Linked DNA regions of Astyanax mexicanus. The protein of the gene in region 1 binds, or shares a complex with, the protein of each later gene. Links are inferred from orthologs where the notes say so. Each region holds a gene or a part of one and is shown on either strand. Other genes may lie near its edges.

What was found. The genes of interacting proteins can lie anywhere in the genome.
Region 2: rgs9b (region 1) and si:ch73-167i17.6 share a complex: the UniProt entries of both Homo sapiens proteins name them as parts of the RGS9-1-Gbeta5 complex. The link is inferred for Astyanax mexicanus from reciprocal best matches to the Homo sapiens genes RGS9 and RGS9BP.

What each region holds. Positions count from the first base shown.
Region 1 is NC_064422.1:28,642,399-28,652,385, forward strand, and holds the start of rgs9b (regulator of G-protein signaling 9b), read right to left. Parts: upstream 4,176-9,987; 5' UTR 3,990-4,175; coding exon 3,924-3,989; intron 1,044-3,923; coding exon 947-1,043; intron 1-946. Other genes in the region: gna13a (guanine nucleotide-binding protein subunit alpha-13a), read left to right, coding at 5,488-5,767, 6,847-7,073, 9,062-9,112, 9,239-9,808. UniProt on the Homo sapiens protein: Inhibits signal transduction by increasing the GTPase activity of G protein alpha subunits thereby driving them into their inactive GDP-bound form. Binds to GNAT1. Involved in phototransduction; key element in the recovery phase of visual transduction.
Region 2 is NC_064416.1:13,602,950-13,613,958, forward strand, and holds si:ch73-167i17.6 (regulator of G-protein signaling 9-binding protein), read right to left. Parts: upstream 4,130-11,009; 5' UTR 3,421-4,129; coding exon 2,692-3,420; 3' UTR 608-2,691; downstream 1-607. UniProt on the Homo sapiens protein: Regulator of G protein-coupled receptor (GPCR) signaling in phototransduction. Participates in the recovery phase of visual transduction via its interaction with RGS9-1 isoform.

The sequences.
Region 1 (9,987 bases):
CTGAGTTTATCTGAGTATCAAGGCCTTATATGGAGCTTTTTGACCAAAATAACTCTTAAAACCAGTTCTTAAACTGGTTCCGTTCAGGTTTGCAGGTTACAGAGGCGTAAAAAACAGCTATTGTTTATTCCAGCTCGAAATAAACTTTCTGGGTTCCAGAACCTATTTTTTGAAGGGTGAAAATGCACTGAAGGGTTAAAAATTAGGTGCACAAACTGCAATGAAGCCTGTTCCACACTGGTGGAAAAGCGTTAATAGTGGGAAACCGATGGATGGGACATTCTATTTCCAAAGTTTTGCAGGAATGTAATGTTTCTCCATTCAGTGTCACATGTGTACTGGGAATAATGTACAGAATGCCAATATTACCCCCACACTGGACACAGTGTATTATTTATTATTTATTTATTATTTATTTTTTTCCTGCTGTTTTACTGATGCCTTCTGTCTCTTTCAATTTGTACACAAACCTAAATATCACAATGTATACTGTGTAAAAAATAAAATATCATGATTCCATACATTAATTTAACACAAGCAAATATGTCCCCACTGGTGTGTCTCATGTTTATGGTCTTCACAGAGCAGCAAGGCTTTGAGAACGGAGAGGTTTGAAGAAAAGCTCTTCACCCTGAGACCACACAGCCTCGAGGAGGGAGTCATTGCAGCCAGCTGCTCAGGGGTTGTCATGGCAATAGATACTTCAGACCTAGACCTACATAAGAAGAAGGACTCCAATGCATGGGCTGGCTGGAACTACCCTGTTAAAGAGTAATCTCTGAAGAAATCACTGCGCGTGCGAGAGTCTCATCACTTCGGCTTAAAGCCAGTGGTGTCTCATATGGTGTGCGAGATCTTCCATTAAGGCACAGCTGCACACAATAACGATGCTCATTTCCTCACTGCAGTGCTGCAATGATTTGTGATATGTTTATTCAAGACTTACCTGTTATGGCATGAGGAATGGTGGTGATGACCAGCCTCTGTGTCTGAGATTTCACCCCAGTCTTGGGGTCTTGCATCTCCAGCACCACAGCTTCCAGCTGCAATTAAAACATAAAGCAGAAGCAGAACAAGGTCATAACCTTATATTATAATAACAATCATAAAAACGTCTATTTCCTGAGGAAATACACAATTGTTAAACAATTTAAGCTCATTTAAAATGTAAAATTTTGATTCAACTAAGGTTTGGACAGTACCATTTCTGGAACAAGTTAACATATTGCTTTATCTTTGCATAATACAGCTTGAGGCCCCAAAGATCGCCTGCATCCAATGTTTGATAATATTTTATAGCCAGGCATGTGGGACAGTTGCAAATTGCTCCCATCACAGCTGTTTATTAGTACCACTTACTTTTCCAAGCTTTTTGTTGCATCCATCAAGTTCTTGACTAGTTAATGATATGTAAATAATTACAGGATAGATTAGATACTGAAGCGTGTCACAAGAGAGAGGAAAATTGTTTCAGGGGCTCTCTGGGGCTACTTTTGGCTAGTGTACCTCTTGGTGAGAGATCACAAACTGCTTGACATGCCTCTACGATGCTTTCAAACTCATTCTGCACAGTTGTTAGACTTTGAGGCGGGGCACATCATCGGACTGAGAGAATAAGGATGGTCGCTTTGACAAATTGCCCGAAATCGTGGTCACCTTTCAGCCAGCCAACACCTCTTGGACTGCTATAGACTGGAACTGTATTGTCTTTAGTGGCAAATACAGGCTCTGTTTGGGATCTAATGGCAGTAAGTGGTGGATGAACCTGTCCTTCCACTTTAATATTGTAATCGGTTACACATTTAATCATTATATTTACACATATAAAATGTTGTTTAATTTAAACTCCTTCTTGCTATGTAATATTTTTGTCCAGGTTTTTGTTCAGATGCATTGTGTATGGAATAATCTGTAAAAATTAAAAACTTACTGTGTTGTATTCCATGTATCCCGAAAAGTTTTAGATATACCATGAGAGACATGAGGGGTTGTGTGTAAATGAAAAGCAATTGCAATTAATGTATTTATAAATCTATTTTTAATGCTCTTAAAGAAAGCTATTCAAATACTTAACACAAATAATGCAAATAAGGCAACTTGAGTGGTGCTCTTTCCACTGGTCAGTAAGTCAGCTTCTCTAAACGCTGTATCATGCAATACTCAAACATGAAGCCATCCCTGCTGGCCTCTCACATGCTGTTTCATGCCCTGAGGGGTACGTGGCTGACCCCTTTGAAATACACCAGCGATTGATTGGTTAGTCTTTAGCGCTGTTTGAAGTTTCTTCATGCTTTGTCAGGGTCTGTGGCTTCTGAAGGCTGTTTGGGGAATTGTGCACCTTCATCTGGATCACAGCGAGCTCTTAGCCAAGTGATTGGGCTATTACCATGCCAATGTAGAGTCAATATTGGGTTTAGAGGGCTGAGAATGGGCTGACACCAGGCATCTGTTTACCTCAGACTGCTGCTGAAGCATCTCCTAGTGCAATATCTTAAGAGACCTGAGGCTGGTAATAAAGCTGGACTAATACCTTTAAGTACATGCAGTACTGACCTTAAGCTGGACAGTGAACATTTGTTCTCAACATGCTGATGGGAAGGAATAATGTATACACATTTTAAGGCAACTAACACACATAACACACATATACTTCTATATCTCCACAGACAAGTCACAATATTAGGACTACCGTCTTGTTTTTACATTCATTGTCCATCTTATCAGCTCCACTGCCCATATAGGAGCACATAGTAGTTCTATAATTACATACAGACATCTTTCTGTTTGTCAGCATACTATATTATCCTCTTTTACCTTGTCATGTATGTGTGGGGTGATATATATATATAAGTGATGGATATTTTAAACAGGGTCTCCATACTGTCTCTCAAACTTTATTAGACAATCTGAACTAGTTGGTCAAATTTTAGATATAAAATAATCAGATCTGCTGCTGCACAGTTTGTGTTGGTCATCCTCTAGTGCTTCATCAGTGGTCAAATGATATGGTTGTTGTACTTTTCTCAGTCCAGCAGTGACACTGAGAATTTAAAAACTGCAGCAGCACTGCTGTGTCTGATGCACTCCTCTTTTCACATTCAGCCTCCTAACAGATTATTTGGAATTTGTGTCCTGGATCTGTTGATACTTTGTGAAATTCATTCACTTCGACTGTGCAAAATGTTCAGTGCCACTGGCAGTAACACAACCCTAGATCCACTCCCATACTTCACAGTTGGATAGATGTTACTTACATGTTTTTTTTTACAATGTCACAATATCAGTTACTGTATTATAGTAAATACACTGATAAATATTTGAGCAAATAAGACAAATTAAGCAAAGTAATTTAATACAAAGGATTTAACTGGCCAAAATTAGTTTAACTAACCCTTTGACAGCTGTACTGCATCAATTTCTAGGTACACAATCCATGCACATAGGTGGCATCAAAGATGCACGATGGGTTATAAAGAGCAGAAGGTGATTAAGTAGATAAGCACAGAACATGAGCTATACATTTGTTGATAACATATGTGACTGTGATTTATTCTCATTAGTTTATAAATTAACTAAATTAAATTCCCATGTTCTATAGTATGTTTCATATGTGCATTTATTATGTACACAGTGCACTGTGTTTTTATATAGACATAGCTGTAAAAAGCAACAGTTGCATTAACACCATAAAAATGCTGAAGAGGGTGAGAGGAGTTACAAATCAGTTCCCATCCAATACAGGCACATCAGGTCTGATAAACAGCTGACTGACAGCAGCCCAATATAGCTCACCCTGATCAATATCATAACATTTCTCTCCAATCAATAACCCACGCCTATTATCACCAGTAAAACGAGCTGAAAAACAGCAGACCCACAGAGGACGGTGATCTAACCCCGCTCCATTCATCCATTCAACCCACCTTTTTCAGACAAGCCATCCGCGGTCTGTAGCGCTGTCCGTGATCCCGCACGTTTCTGATGGTCATGATTGGGTCTGTGGTCCGCACAGCAGAGGAGGAGCAGCCTGCAGATCACCGTCGAGGAGCGGGAATGAAGCGGGTTCTCGGATGAACGTGGGAGTTTTACTAATCCAGCCTAATCTCTTATTATTATTGATACACACACCGAGACGCTGGCTGTCTCCACCAATCAGAGAACATCGCCGCTCCTACCAGCCAAACCTGTCACATCCTGCCTCAGAGCGGCAGTGACACCGATCCGCCCGGCAGGAGGCGCTGTCCAGCTGCTGAAGGAGCTCTGGGGCTTTAGATAGATACATTTATTTATTTATCTTTTTTAATTAGCTTTTTCACTTTTTAATGTATTTATTTTTCGTTTTTAATTCGTTTTTTCACCTTTAATTTATTTATCTGTTTATTTAAACTTTTTTATTTAAATATTTTTTTTGGTTTTTAAGGTTTCTCATACAAGATAAACATTTTTTTTTTATTATTTTTTCTTTTTTAATGATGTTTTTCCCATTTTTTTCGAATGACATGGACACATGTTACAAAAAAAGTTAAATATATGTTTTTTTCATAGGCAAATACATTTTTGCATTTTAAGGTTTCTTATATAAGATACACTTTATTATTCATTTATTTTTCATTTTTAATTATGTTTTTTTTTTCACTCTTTTAATGGACACAAAAGAATAAACCTTTTTTCATGGACAAATACATTTTTGTCTTTACATTTTATTTGTTTTTCGTTTTTGAGTTTTTCCCTGACTTTTTATTTGAACGACGTGTTACATTTTTTTTTCCATGGACAATTTTTTGTTGATTTGTTTAAGGTTCCTCATATAAGGTACACTTTTATACACTATTACTATTTTTTTATTATTTTTATTACTTTTTACTTTTTTATTTGAATGGATACATGTTACGAAAAATATAAGATAAAGTTCAAAATAAAAGCAAAATCTAAAATACAATAAAAAAAAGTGTTTTGGCCTTTATTTTGACTTTTTGTTTTGCTACCTGCTTAAGTTTAGCAAAATTGTAATGCATCGCATTCTTTCTTGAATTTATATAATATAAAATATCAAATATATTTTATATTAGGGTATATTAATATATTAATGTGTATTTATTTTTAGTTTTTTTAGCTGCGTATTTAATTTACTCTCTATGTAAAAATATATTATTTTTTGTTTGTAATTTTGTTTTAAAAGTAATATAAGACTTTTAAATCACGGTTTCTACGTGTTTACAAAAATCAGGGATCTGCTAAGTTGACTAAAAGAGTCTAAATATTCTGAAAACTCGGTTAATGATATTCCATCCATGTGTTTATACTGTGGTTATTGAAGAGGTTTGGGTCTTTATCTGTGAGGGAGAGGGGCCGTGGGTGAATAAAGTGAACGAGCACAAAGAAATGGACAAGTTAAAACCCCGCACAGTCACCGCCCAGGTTTGTGCACGCGCACTGAGCGACGCGCGCTCCCGCGAGTGATGGATCCATGAAGTTGTTAGTACAAAAATGGCTGATTTCCTGCCCTCCCGGACGGCTTTAGTCTGTATCCCCGCTTGTTTTCTCTCCAACAACGAAGTGGAGCAGCAGAGGAAGTCCAAGGAGATCGACAGATGTATTTCTCGGGAGAAGACCTACGTGAAGCGCCTGGTGAAGATCTTGTTACTCGGAGCTGGAGAAAGTGGCAAGTCAACTTTCCTCAAACAAATGCGCATAATTCATGGGCAGGACTTCGATCAGCGGGCCAAAGAAGAGTTCCGGGCTACGATCTACAGCAATGTTATCAAAGGTACTCCGCTTTCTAACTCAGAAAAGACGCGGTTCATCTCTGGATTAGAACAATAAGACCGTCGCCCTGCTGTTATTTCAAAGTGAAACTGATTTGGTGTGTGGAAGTTTCGATGCAGCTCTCTACATCTGGCATTAGCTAACCTTACAGCTACGCTCACACTACTACACCGTGTTAGCGCCGCGCCTATGGAGCTCAACACTCTAGTAGTTAGCTTAACCTAGCTAACAGCTCTTAACAGGGTCTTAAAAGTTACTTTTATTTGTTGTACACAATTATGAGAACTGTAAGTCACACCCAAGAGGACAGTATGACATTCAGGGGTTTGGTAAACTCAAGGATGAGGTTGACTTTTGAAAACTCAACTTGTCAACTTGTGTGTTTGTTTGTTTGTTTTATTTTTTTGCACTACACACTTGGCTGTCTATGCTAGCCAACTACAATATCTACAGCATGCATTTAGGTTTACATTAGAACTGCAACAATTAGTCGATATAATCGTCAATGTCGATTATTTAAATCTGTCAACTACAAAATTCATTGTCAACTAATCGTTATTTGTAACAGTACCACATTACACAAAGTTCTGGGTTACACTCAACTTTGTCTGTGTCTCCAAAAGTGCCCAAAAAAAAACAGTATAATCACTAAATAATCAGTACTTTCCATGTTTAAACAATTTCTTGACATTTAAATGCCTTTTAAATCAAATAATCAGCTATTCCTATAGATTTTAAAGGTGGTGGACATGGCAGAAATAACTGTTGACTAATCATCTAATCTAAGAAAAAAATCATCATCAGATTAGTCAAAAATAATCAGATAGCCTACTATCTCTGTGCGCCTCTTTGCCCCTTTTTGTTTTGCTTTTCAAAACAAAGGCCAAATACCAATTTGAACCTCAGAAGCAAGGTTTATTTTTTATTTTGTGCTACCCTGTCTCTACATGTGACACTGATAGTACCACATGTTATACTCATAAATACCTGTTTTCCCAACTATGTACAGTATGATGGATTCAGCAGGTTATCAGTCTGTCTTATCTCACTGGAATTTCCTTGTTTGGGTTTGTCCCTCAGGAGTACGGGTGCTGGTGGATGCCAGAGAAAAGCTGCACATCCCTTGGGGAGACCCTTCGAACCAGGCCCATGGAGAGGTCATGATGGGCTTTGACACACGCTCGTCCATGATGGTCCAGGGAATAGTTGAGACCAAAGTTTTCCTGCATTATCTGCCATCGATCCGCTCACTGTGGGCTGACAGCGGCATTCAGACTGCCTATGACAGAAGGAGAGAGTTTCAGCTGGTGAGTCCCAAACCACCCACATTGTGTTATCAGGAGCAGCTTCACTCATTTTTACTGTAAAACACACCATTTATGCTCTTTTTTTATTTTCACTGTATGCATCGTATCTGTTTTTTTCCCACCTTTTCTTTTCAATTTTTGGCCTAAAAGATTGGTTTACATGTGATATTTGTGTAGCTTGTTTGACAGAATTTGTGTGGTGGTTGTTGTTGGTGGTGGGAGGGTGGGTGAAAGGGGGGGTTGTATTCCCAGTTAAAGAATGTTGATCTGTTTAATCACTTTGTATGGGTCAGCGGATAGGGCAGAGGAAAACATTTTTCTCGGTACTGTGCCTTGCATCTTTTGCTAGTCGGTAAGCTTGACAATACAGACGTGTGTATATCATTTTTAAATGTAGTCACCTGTATCCAACATTTTTATCAGAAGGTGTAATGGGTTTATTGCTTCAGGATCATTTATATTTTCCCAAATATGTTAATGTGGCATGCATTAAAAATAATATTTAAACCAGATAATCCCCAATTTTACAATATGGACACTGTATTATGTGTTGTAGTTATATTTAAAACATATTTTACATAATTGACATAACTTACTTTAGTCTGTTGGTTTTGTTCTTTTCTGCTTCTTCTAAAGTGACAATATAAGAGACAATATAATGCTTACAGAGTATTGTTAACCACCCATAACCAAACTAAAAGCACTTTTCCAGAAAGGAAACTTGCTGTTTATTTAGTCTTTTCAGAATAGTCTATTCCACCTACTAATGCCATGTTTGTTATCTATAAATACTAATAAAACAGAAGCAGTATTGTTGGGGAAACTGTTCCTTTCATTATTCGTTAAAATAGCACTGGACATGCAATGGTCTTATTTGGTTTGACTAAGAGAAAATCAGTCCATCACACAGATTCATAATCCATCAACCTGATAGGCATTTAGTCATCCATTATTACAGAGGGTGTGGAAGATACATAATGGCTAATGCTATTTGAATTTATGTTTAGAAGGTTTGGGTTAAAAGTTCAGGCACTCCCTTGGCAGCAAACCTACAAGCAAAACTGTCAGGGGCTTTATATAGAGTTTCACAGATTACATTTGATCAGTAAACATTTGTATCATGCAGACTTATGTTTGAGAATTTATCATTAGGATTCTTCTATCAGAAATAGCACAGTATACCGTAATACAGAGATACCAACCGAAAGTGAAACTCTTGTCATGTGGTTGTAGAAATGTCCCTGTTCCCCTTTTCCTGTTTTGTTTTTCATTGCTGCGTTTCATTAAGCTTAAACTTTACACAGGCATTAAATATGTTAATATGTTTATTAAGAAATCTTTGATTACTAATTTAGCACAAAGTCTTGTGTGTGTGAAATGTGGCCTAATGCAGTACGCTGACTGAGGAAGTTTGAGTAGTGTTGGACCAGAGATTTTGTGATACACACTGAGGAAACTGAGAGAGAGTTAAAACTCAGCCCTGTTCTCTATAATAAGGGATTGAGAGAAAACTGGAGGGGTTATTGTTCAGGATTTAGAATTGAGCACTCAGGGACAAAGGTTACTGTTGCTATTCCAGCAATAATTTAACGCAGCTAGAAAAGTATCAGGAATCTGCATCAAGTGCATTCATTACTGAATTAACTGTTAACCGAATTTTAAACAGTAGTTTAACTGACTGGGCTGTTAAATTGTTTATAAATGTTTGTTTGATAAATGTTTATAAATGTTTGATTAACTTAATATTAAAAGCAAACAAAGTTCTGACATGATTTTGGTCTTGTTACTTGCAATATCTTTTTACAAGTGACTCTGGACTGTTCTTACTTTTTTGGTTTTGTAAACAATGTTAAAATCTTAAAAAATAAAGGCAGACGTGATTTAGTTTTTTTTGTCCATATATGCTATGATTTTGTTTTATGATTGCTGTGATTTCTTTCATTGTTAATTGTTGTTTTTGTCTTTTGTGTGTGTGTGTGTTTCTGTAGGGAGAATCTGTGAAATATTTTCTCGATGGTTTGGACAGAATTGGGCAGCTGGTAAAAACTTTTTTTTCCCCTACTAGATGCACTGTTGATAAAAAGAAAATGTATATTACCTATTAGCAAAGTCTGTATGATTTATTTCATGAATATTAATTTATTTGTTATTCTCTTTATTCTCAGGACTATTTACCAACCCAGCAGGACATACTCCTGGCAAGGAAGCCAACCAAGGGCATCCACGAGTATGACTTTGAGATCAAGAATGTTCCGTTCAAGATGGTGGATGTGGGAGGACAGCGGTCAGAGCGCCGTCGCTGGTTTGAGTGCTTTGACTGTGTCACTTCTGTCCTCTTCCTTGTCTCTTCTAGTGAGTTCGATCAGGTTCTCATGGAGGACCGTCAAACCAACAGGCTCACAGAGTCCCTCAGCATATTCGAGACCATCGTCAACAACCGCGTCTTTTCGAATGCGTCGATCATTCTTTTTCTGAATAAGATGGACCTGCTGGAGGAGAAAGTTAAGCTTGTGTCTATTAAAGACTATTTCCCGGAGTACACAGAGGAGCCCCACGACCTCTCTGAAGTGAAAAAGTTCCTAGTAGAGTGCTTCCGCAGCAAACGCAGAGAGCAGCAGAAACCGCTGTATTACCACTTCACCACTGCCATTAACACGGAGAACATCCGACTCGTCTTCCGGGACGTCAAGGACACTATCTTGCATGAAAATTTGAAGCAGCTTATGTTGCAATGAGAGAGATGTCCTAAACAATCATTCCATTTAATTTCTGTTTGTTTGTTTTTTGTTTTGTTTTTTTTTGGCTTCAGTAACAGCCCTGAAAGGCCACCTGCCCAAAGCAGGTGAATTCTTCTACTGACTGATGACCACCTTACTGAGGTCCACCATAGTGTCCCTTTTAGCTTTCTTGCAGG
Region 2 (11,009 bases), on another chromosome or scaffold:
TCCAACAAAATTACGATATTGACCAATCCTACAATATATGGACATGATTTAAATAATTTTGTTGACCTTTGTATTGTATGTTGTGCTTACTAGGAGATGTTTTATTTACGTTACAATTATTTATCATAATTAAACAGTTGTTCCAATCCCATGTCAGAGTATTCTTAATAATAATTGAAAGTTAAATGTGCTGTAACAAAATAGAATAAAAAAATTCCAATATTATATTATTATTATATCAGTGGCATAAACTAATCTGAAACTGACAGTAAAATAATTTATGGCAATTATTTCTGGACCGATACATTGCCTAAGAAAATTAATTATTATGACAGGCCTGAACTATTATACTTCAGACCTGGGGTGAGTAACGGGAGCTGGAATGCAGCACATTTACTGATTTCTCTGCTCTGTCAGATCTACTATAAACCTAGCAATTAACAGTGGTGTTGAATCAGGTGTGTTCAAACAGGAAAAACACAAAATTGTAGAGAAATCTGGAGGAGTGGAACTGCCCACTTATGCTCTACACTCAACCCAAAAACTCAATAGCCATTAAAAATAAAACCTAGTTCAGGCCTATTACATTTTCAAACAAGACAACATCGCTGCTCACATCATTTATTGTAATAAATATATTCAATTGTATGTACACTATTTCCACATCAGTGCATTATGTACAAATTCACTATGCATCTGTTGCCAAGAATGCACAGATACACCTAAAGTCATAGTGCACAATCTAAAGGGGCTTTGTAAAGAGCTGAGACACTGTAAGGAACCGTGCGTGCAGTCCGAAGCTTGGACACAGTCACTGGTCTGTAATACTGGCTTGAAAAAAAAAGTGTAACACTGTTCTCCTGATATAAATGCTGTGGGTTGCTGTGCGTTTGCTGAGCTAGAAGAGTTAAGGTGCACCTAAATATGATTGTGAGATTGAGGCTTATAGCGCACTTATTAACTCGATCATATTCCTTTCATAATTCTATCATAGCTGGGCCTTCCAGCATTACATTCTTAAAGGGGAATTTCAGCGGATTTTCAAAAATCTGTGCATAATTAAGTTAAGACGTAAACAAAGTCATTCCATCTTACAGAGTCACAGAACTGATGAATGGAAACAGATTGCTGAAATGCCTATATTACAGAAAGTAACTGCATTACATGATTACAGATACTCTGCCTGATGCCTGACACAGTGGTTTACCATAGCTTGGCAATACATTCAGCCTAGATGTTGGCTTTAAATTCAATCTCGGTGGAGGGGTACATTCAGGGCATGCTAAGGCAAAATAGTTTCCAAAAGATTATTTTGTCATTAAAACAGACAAAAAAGACATATTTTTTTACTTTTATATAATCACCATCACATCATAACCTCAGAAGGCATTTGTAAGTTCCCTAGTTGTTTCAGACAGGAATTAAATTTTATAATTGTGGTGTAAACAATTTCAACATTTTCAGAATTAATTTGTTTAGATTAGGTTGATCTACAAAATTTCTTAAGGTTCCTTGTTTTTTCACCCCTTTACCATGATCTCCATTACATTTAATACCTCACACAGCATGTGTATTTTCCCTGGTTGTTTAAGACATTACATTACATTACATTACATTTCATTTGGCAGACGCTTTTGTCCAAACCGACTTACAATAATGAAGTACAAAGACAGTAATTAACATAGTATAACTGTGCTGTAGATCATCTTTCACATCCTGAACAACTCTGTTTACATCTCAACAATGAACAATGAAGCTGAAGTCTTCCTGGCTGTCTGGTATGATGGGTGTTAACAAGAAATCAATGAAGTTTTGGTTAGATCTGGTTGGTCTACATGGTTTTTCAAGGTTCTTCTTTTGTCCACTCCACTTTAACGTAATCGCTATTACATTTAAACCCCCAGACAGCATTGCAGGTTCTCTGCTCATTTTAGACAGATTAAAACGCTATAACTGTCCTGTAGACAAGTTCTGAGACCCTGAATGGCTTTGTTTACATCTTAACAAGATAAGCTGAACCTATTCTGGATGTCTCAGTTGACAGGTTCTCCATAAGGCTGAAAGGAATCTGGTTGGTCTACATGGTCAACATGGTTTCTCAAAGTTCCTTGCTCTACACAGTGCACAAAACCTCATCAACAAACCTGAAAAGCCCTGAATAGTTCTAATATTTCTCAACAAAACAGTTTGGGAACACGGTTCAAAGGCCAAGATCCATCATGCCTAGCCTGTTCTCCTCTTTCTATCTTCCATACCTCGTATCTTCAAAGGTATTTTGTGTAATTTCAACCACTGCACGCTTCAGCACAATGCCTTCATTTTTTTGCTTTGTCCTGCTTCCTCACAGTATGGGGTAAAAACCTCAATCCTCTTTCCCTCCTGTACTGTAGCCTGTACTAATACTGCATTAGAAACATTATAAAACCTCCACAGTGTGAGAGATGATGATTGGGCTGTCTGGGAGCTCCAGTGTCCATCCTCAATCGAGTTAGACAGTGCTAGGCTCTATATAGTGCAATCTGACCCCTCTCAATCAATCCGATCAGCCCCCCAAACACCCTGGGCAGTGTTGGCGTGAGTTGGTTGGCAGGCTGTATAGGTGAAACAGTGCTTTGTGTGCTGTGCTGAGCTGAGCTGAAGTGCTGGAGAAGGTCCATCCCATAAGACTGGTGGTGTCTGAAGACTCCTGCTTCAGAGGTTGATCACTAAGTACCCGAGGATTCCAGCTATGAGCAAGACAGCGGTGAACACGATGCCTGCGAAGATCTTCATGATGCCAGCCTCTCCATCACCACCTTCCTTGGGTTCTTCCTCGCATACGGAGATGACCCCCACAGACGAGTTGCCCACACTGACGGTGGACTTTAGCTCGGCGCCAGCCTCTTGCTTGGCCTCCACAGCCCACGGCGCCACCTGTACCTTCATCTCCATCTCCTCCAGCATCTGGTCCACCTGGGCGATCTCGGTCTCCAGATCCCTGAGGTCGGCCGTGTCGATGCCAGCATCCGCCTCGTACTTCATGTTCTGCACGCTCATGGCTCTGGCCGCCACCGTGGTGGTGCTGCCCGTCATGCCAGTCTGGATAAAGTGGCGGGTGGGCACCTTCAGAGGGAAGCTCTGGCCGATCTCCAGGGAGCGCTTCATGTCCACCTCCAGGATCTCCATGCTGCTGGTGAAGAGCACCCATAGGCGCTCGTACTCCACTCGATCATCGTTGCTGATGCTCTTATCCTTCAGCACGGCTGTCAGCTTGGTCCTGTTGGCCACGGCCAGCTCCTGAGCCTTCTTGCGGGTCTTCTTGAGCTCTTCTCTGAGGTTCTGCGAGTCTGAGGTGCTGCCCAGAGCTGAGACCAGGTGCCGGTAGCAGGCTGTGACTTTGTTCAGGGCATCCAGCATGGTTTTGCACTCGTCTTTACCCATGTTTGACCACTGGTGGATGGGTTGCAGAGATGATGGATGGACTGGGGGAGGTTAAAAAAAGCTTTAAAAACCAAAAACAACCTTTAATGTTAGGTCCTTTAACATTTCTTTATTTTCAGCCAGACAAATCCACTCAGCTCTCCGGCCACAGCCATGTTTCCCAGCTTGTGAGAGCAGGCTTAACAAATAAACGGATCTGTAAACAGCTTTACTTTTACCCTGGGAGATTAGTCCTCGTCAGTAACCCGAGATGCAGGAGGCGGACGGGTGGAGCATCAATTTAAAAGCATCTTCTTCCTTTCTTTCAGAAGACCGTCCTGCAGCTCTGCACTTAGACGATAGCACGATAGAAAAAAGCGTTTAGCCCAAACTCACAGGAAGTGCACACATCATCATCATCAGCATCATCAGCATCCCTGGCTAATCCCTCCAGAACAGACGAGTGTTTGGCCCTCGCCCCACAAAAAAAAAATAACACAATAAACGATGGTATGCGCTCCTCACAGCTCCACTCTCCACACACGACGCGTCCCCAGCGCCATAAAACCCCAGCAAACGCGACGGTGTAGAAATATATTCCCCTTCCCGCTGTTTTGTTTTGGTTTTAGCTAGCCAGCGTCTCCGTGAACGCGCCGACCGCCCGCCTCTCTCAATCACTGCGCTTTAAATACCACTAGTAGCCCAAGCGTGTGCTCGCTGCTCACATGAACGCGCATCACAGAAACACAGAGCCAGTCAGCTGCGCGTTCACAAACGGAGCAAAGAGCCCAGCAAAATGCAGCGCTGTGATTGGCCAAAGCACAGTATTGGATTTGAATGTCAGGTACAATTGGTGTAAGCTGCCCATCATTCACTAGCTAGGAGGAAAACAGTGGAGAAAAAGGGATCTTTTAAATCTGAAATTATATAATTTATACATTTATACTGTAAAAAAGTAAAAGTTGAGAAAACTAAAAAAAAAACTAAAAAATAATAGACAGTTGTGAGAACTGGAAATCTTTAGTTCTGATAATTCATTTTTTCATATGCATAAAAACATTAAACATTAAGTCTCACCAATTTAGAAATTAATTTTTTGTTCTTAGGATCTATGAAATGTGTTTTGTAAATTCTGCTGACTATCCTTCAAAGGAGAACTCTGGTGTAAAATTGACTTTTGGTGTAGTAAAACATGATAAAAAGTATTTACCTTTGATGAATAGCACACCTCCGTTCTCCCACAGCGTTCTGAGATTCAAAAATTTTAACAGTTTATCCAAACACCCTTCAGACTGGGTGACACGGGGCATAATTTGCTAGTGGGGCATAATGACAGTAGCTTCAGCTCTGTGCGCCGCCATTTTTGAAATGATAATAACATAGACATATACATAAACGCTGTATAGCATAGCAGCTTGGAAAATGGTGGAAAAAGCGTTTTATCTGGGCACAATATGCCCCGAGTGTTTGGACAAGCTGTTAAAATTTCTGGATGTCGGAACGCTGTGGGAGAATGGATGTGTGCTATTTATCAAAGGTAAATACTTTTTATCATGTTATCATACCAAAAGTCCATTTAAAACCGGAGTTCTCCTTCAACTAAAATTAACTTGTGTCAGTGACACCTTAAACAATTAGTAATTGTGCCAACATAAATTATTTAGTTAGGCCAACTTTTAAAAAGAAACTTAAAAATGTTAGTTGAGGAAATGAGTTTGCTATAATTTACAATGCAATTCAATATTTCCTGTCCTGTTAGCTGACTTGAAAATCACATTAAAGAGAACAATTTTAAGTTTTGTTCATACCATTCAAAAGTTTTACATATACATTTTCTTTTTTTCCTAATGTAAATTAATACTGAAGTCAAATGTGTTAAACAAACAAAAATACTCTGTAAAACATTTAGGTGGGATCTCATCTGAAGATGGTATCTCTTGGTCTTCCATTTCTGAGGCTGTCCTGATGAGAGCCAGTTTCATCATATCCCTTTTGATGGTCTTTGCGACTGCACTTGAGGATACTTTCAAAGTCCCTTTACTTAGTTGAGTATTTCTTGCCATAATATGGATTAGATCTTAACTTAAATAGGGTAATCCCTGTATACCATCTCTACCTCTTCACAAGTTTACAACTGATGCTCTCAAACACCTTAAGAGAACTGGCAAGAGATTCAAGTAATTAACTGTTGAGAAGGCAATTGACGGCAACTGAAAGTCATTCCAGGTGACTACCTCTGACTAAGAAAATGCCAAGATGAGCAAAGCTGATATCTAAGCAAAAGGAATTGTAATAATCTAAAGTATAAAACACAGTTTTTGTTCAAACGTTTTGTTTACTAAATAATTCCCCATGTTTTTATTGATAATATAGATGACTAAAATTAAAATAATAAAAGAAAAACACCGTTCAACCATTGGTGGTACCACAACAACCCATTTGCAACAACCTAGCAACCACATGAAATATCATCCAAGCATATCAAAGAAATTGTTTTTATGGGATATTTGATTTCTAGTAAACATACTGGAGATAACACACTAGAAGCACCCATCCAACTTTTTGTGGTACCAAAGCAAACACTACCTAGTAATAACCTAGCAACTTTCTGGAACACCTTAGTAACCAATGCATCATTCAAGCATATGAAGCAATTTGATTCAGGAAAACGATAACTGCCACACTCTAAGAAATATAAGTACAGATTTGTACTTAAAAGAGTACAAAGCTTGTCGCTGGGGCTGTACCTTATATTAAGGTTCAAAAAAGTACCTTTCAGTAAAAGTCCTTTTTTGTACCCATGGTTTTTGTGCCAGTATAGATTATAAAGATTATAAACATTGTCATCAACTAAAAATGGCTCAAAAACTTGATGATACAAAATTGTCTGGCTTTCAAATAAAAAATGTGCAATTTAAATATATACTGTTCATTAGTACAGTGATGCAGAATACTGAATGTACCTTTTGGCTGGTTAAATGGTACAAATCTGTACTTATTGCTGTTAGAAATGACTTTGTACTTCAGAGGGAACAAATCTGACCCTGTAAAGACCAATATTGTACCTTTGAGGGTACAATTATAAAGAATGTACCTTCGAGTACAAAAAAGTACTCATATCGTACCTCTGTTTTTTTAGAGTGCAGGAAACACATCAGGGTTGCCATGTGTCCTGAGAAATCTGGAAAAAGTGGAAACTTAGATGTGGAAAAAGAGATAATCGCAATTAATATTTTAGAAAGATGTAATAACACCCAGCCAACCAGATGGGGTACCACAGCAGCCACTTGGAAAAATGGTAGGAGCCACCAAAGACACATGAGAGACCACCTAGAACACCTATCTACCTATATACAGTAACATACAGTTACATTTTGACTCTATCAGTGTTGATTTAACATGGGGAAATGTATGGTATACCTATTAAATAGATTGTCTTGTTCTGAAACTCAGTCTATAGTAGCAGTCTATATTAATCTAATTCTGTTTAGGTCACAGGGAGGGCATAATGGCAGGGTGGCACAGCTGGCAAGTGTGGTTAGAAAGCTGGCTCAGGCAGAGGCCTGCAGGGGCATGCTGTTTTCCTCCCCATGGGGCAGTAGTTGGGATGGCATCTTGTTATGCATGCACGCAGCAGGTTAATGTGGAGCTTTTTCCCTATGCAGGGATAACCATCAGAGCTACCCAGCAGCTGCTGGCTCTCAGTCAAAATGACTTTAACTGTAAAGCCAAAGAAAATGTACAGCGCTGAGCTTATTAGTAGCAAAACAGCAGCGAGTTTCCTCAAAATCCATCCAAAGAAGAGATTAAAAATTTTAATATACAGCTAAATAAGAGACCACTTAAAATTGATGAGTTTCTTTGATTTTACCAAGTTGAAAACCTCGGGAATATAATCAAAAACGGAAAACGGATGATCACAAGCCATCAAATCAAGTTGAACTGCTTGAATTTTTGCACCAGGAGTAAAGGCATAAAGTTATCCAAGAGCAGTGTGTAAGACTTGTGGAGGAGAACATGCCAAGATGCATGAAAACTGTGATTATAAACCAGGGTTATTCCACCAAATATTGATTTCTGAACTTTATGAATATGAACTTGTTTTCTTTGCATTATTTGAGGTCTGAAAGGTCTGCATCTTTTTTGTTTTATAACAAAAAAAATAAATTCACTAAATGACAATATTTTTATTTGGAATTTGGGAGAAATGCTGTCCGTAGTTTATGGAATGAAGCAACAATATTCATTTTACTCAAACATATACCTATTAGTTCCCAGCTGAAGGCTCAGATATGGCTTACTGTTTGATGTCTGAGAATAGGAGGATCTTATTGACTGGCACCTTGGGACACCTAAACATTTGCACAGACTGACATATTAATGAGAGTACAGGCTGGGAGATGGCCTACTGCTAGTTTGATGTTTGCTCAGGCAGCTTTGTCTGAAGCTTTGTCATTTAAACTGGTGAAGGATATTAACTATAAAAAACACAGGATGGAAGAGTGTATGAAGTGTAAAGAGCTAATGAAGTTTAACGTTACTTGAACGAGAGGGTCACTCGTCCAGTGGACAGGATGATCTGCACATGCTATAATCCAGATTAACAGGTTACTAAGGGACTGGGATTAGCACTATAATGCCCTCTAATGCCCCTTTTAATGGAAGCAGCCCATCTTCTCATGTAAAGTGCAAGAAATGATTTCTATACTAAGCCAAGAAATTTAGCATTCACATTCTACTTGACATTTGTGTAGAGTGTTGACACATGGCTATGGCTTCTTTACTGCATACTACAGCTTTAATATGCATTAGTGAACTGCACCTCAAACTGTTTACAGACAGTGATTTCTGGAAGTGTTATTGAGGTTGTGCAGAGAATTCCAGTACAAAATCAGGTATGTTTTAAATTCAGTGCAACCTGAGGGCCTGAAGATCACCAGCATCCAGTAATGACCATCAGCCTTGTCAATTTTTTTGCACACATATATTTTTTCCACATTCTCTGAATCTTTTGATGATTTTATGGGCTGTAGATGGTGGGATATTTATTTTTACATTGAGGAACTGAAATGACAATAAAAAACCTCTAGACTTGACTTATACACAGTCATTTGAGTTATTTGCAAATTGCTTCTATTGCAGATATTTTAGTACTGCTTTCTTTTCCAGCCTTTTTAGTACCATTCCACCTTTTTTGAACGTGTTAAAGGCCTTAAATACAGGAATGGATATTTATTTATGAATTAAATCTTGAGCAGACAAAGCATGAAATATCTCAGGTTAAAACTGTCTGCAATAAAATAAAAACTGCAGTTTTCTGTTATTTGCATTATCCATGCCATCCCAAATGTTTCTGGTTTGGGGTTGTACATAGTTTTCCAAGCTTTTTGGAACTGGGGTTATAAATATACATGATATATGGAATGTGCAAATTGTATAAATTGTCTAATATTTCAGTGTGTAGCTCCATATTTTGTATATAGTACATATAAAAAATATGGAGCTACATACTGGAATATTGGACAATTTTATAAGTATTTTAATAAGTTAGTTTGGATAGAAAGGCTTTGAAAGTAGATCTTATTTAACATCTACATTAACGCAGAAGGGATGTCCCGGTCTTTTGAACATAAAATATGGGAAATAGATGTTACTGTCTGCGCTATCCGAGAGTAAAAAAATGAGATAAAAGAAGCCTGTCTTCTCTACTGAATAATTTAAGCACTCTTACCGCTCCAGAGATTCAGACAGTGCTTCATGGCGAGTCTACACGCTATACTTGAGCTGGGGTGAGCAGTAAGTCAAAGCTCTGTAGTACTGTATTGTGTAAGGTTGACCCTGAGTAGCATCTGCAAAAGCACAGCTGAAGAAATTTTGATATTTTGCTTTTTAACGTCACAAAAGCTTTTGTTTCAGTAGAAAACGGGGGGGATTGGCCCCCTCACTGTTCCAATTATTTTTTGAGGGGACTGTATGTGCCATCAGACATTTCCACCTTTCAGAAATCCTCTAGCGTCCTGTAATTCAGCAGCAATACGATGATCCACTGAGGTTGACCGTTTTCCATCACAGTGATGACGTCGTGGACATTCCTGTCCCTTTTCTTTAAATAAGCCTCCTTTTTAGGATTACAAGCTTTCCCTACTAAACTCAGATCATCCTAAAGGAGCCACGGCATCTGCTTGTGCCGCTTTTAGCCCTAATCCAATCAGGTCTTTACTCAGAGCATGAAGAGGACTTAAGATGAAAGTGAAAAGCTCAGGAACTCTTTGTCCACCATTAGTTCTCGCCATCCCATTCTCCAAAAAAGCAACCTGTGTCACTTCAGGTCACATGACAGGAGAGGGGGAGCAGCAGAGAGGTGATACTGAAAAAAAAAAGCAGATAACAGTAACGGATAAACACAGAGACACTTCCAAAAGCAGTATGTGTACAAATGATCAAACAAAGTGTCCTGTAGTTAGATGTACAAGAACATGGTACTGGAGATGACACTGAAGAATCACAGGGCATCTCACGATACGAGATTATCACGATACATTGCACACGATAATGATGATATCCCATTACTGTTATTCTGTGATACTCAATATATCACAGTATATTGTATCTCTATGATACTTAACAACATTTGTGTTACTGAGCAGGATAAAATACTACTAAATAAAAATAAATACATAAAAAATACCAGGAACTATGGATTTATTGGTGTCAATATTCTTCACCACAGGTTGATGATTATTTGATGATGTTACCATAAAAATATTGATATTTTACACCACATATTGATAATATATTTCAAATGAAAACTATATGATATATTGCAACATCGATATTTTGTCCCATCCGTAGTAATGAACACGGATGTTTTCAAAAACTGCATATAATTTAATTTACAAACAAATTAATTATCTTCTAATTATATGAGCTAGAAGTACTAATGTTACATTTGGAGTGTTACAATACTAGTGATAAATCAGGGGGGTTCCAGTACCAGTGTTACATTTGGGGGGGTTACACTACTAGTGTTACATTTGAGGGTGTTACAATACTAGTGTTACATTTATGCGGGGTTACAATGCTAGTGTTACATTTGAAGGTGTTACAATAGTAGTGTCACATTTGGGGGGGTTCCAATACTAGTGTTACATTTGGGGGGGGTTCCAATACTAGTGTTACATTTGGGGGGGTTCCAATACTAGTGTCACATTTGGGGTGGTTACACTACTAGTGTTACATTTGGGGGGGTTCCAATACTAGTGTTACATTTGGGGGGTTCCAATACTAGTGTCACATTTGGGGTGGTTACAATACTAGTGTTACATTTGGGGTGGTTATACTACTAGTGTTACATTTGAGGGTTTTACAATACTAGTGTTACATTTCTGGGGTTCCAATACTATTGTTACATTGGGGGGGGGGGTACACTACTAGTGTTAAATTTGAGGGTGTTACAATACTAGTGTTACATTTGGGGGATTACACTACTAGTGTTAAATTTGAGGGTGTTACAATACTAGTGTTACATTTGGGGGGTTACAATACTAGTGGTACATTTTGGGGAGTAAAAATACAAGTGTAACATTTTGGGTGTTACAATACTAGTGTTA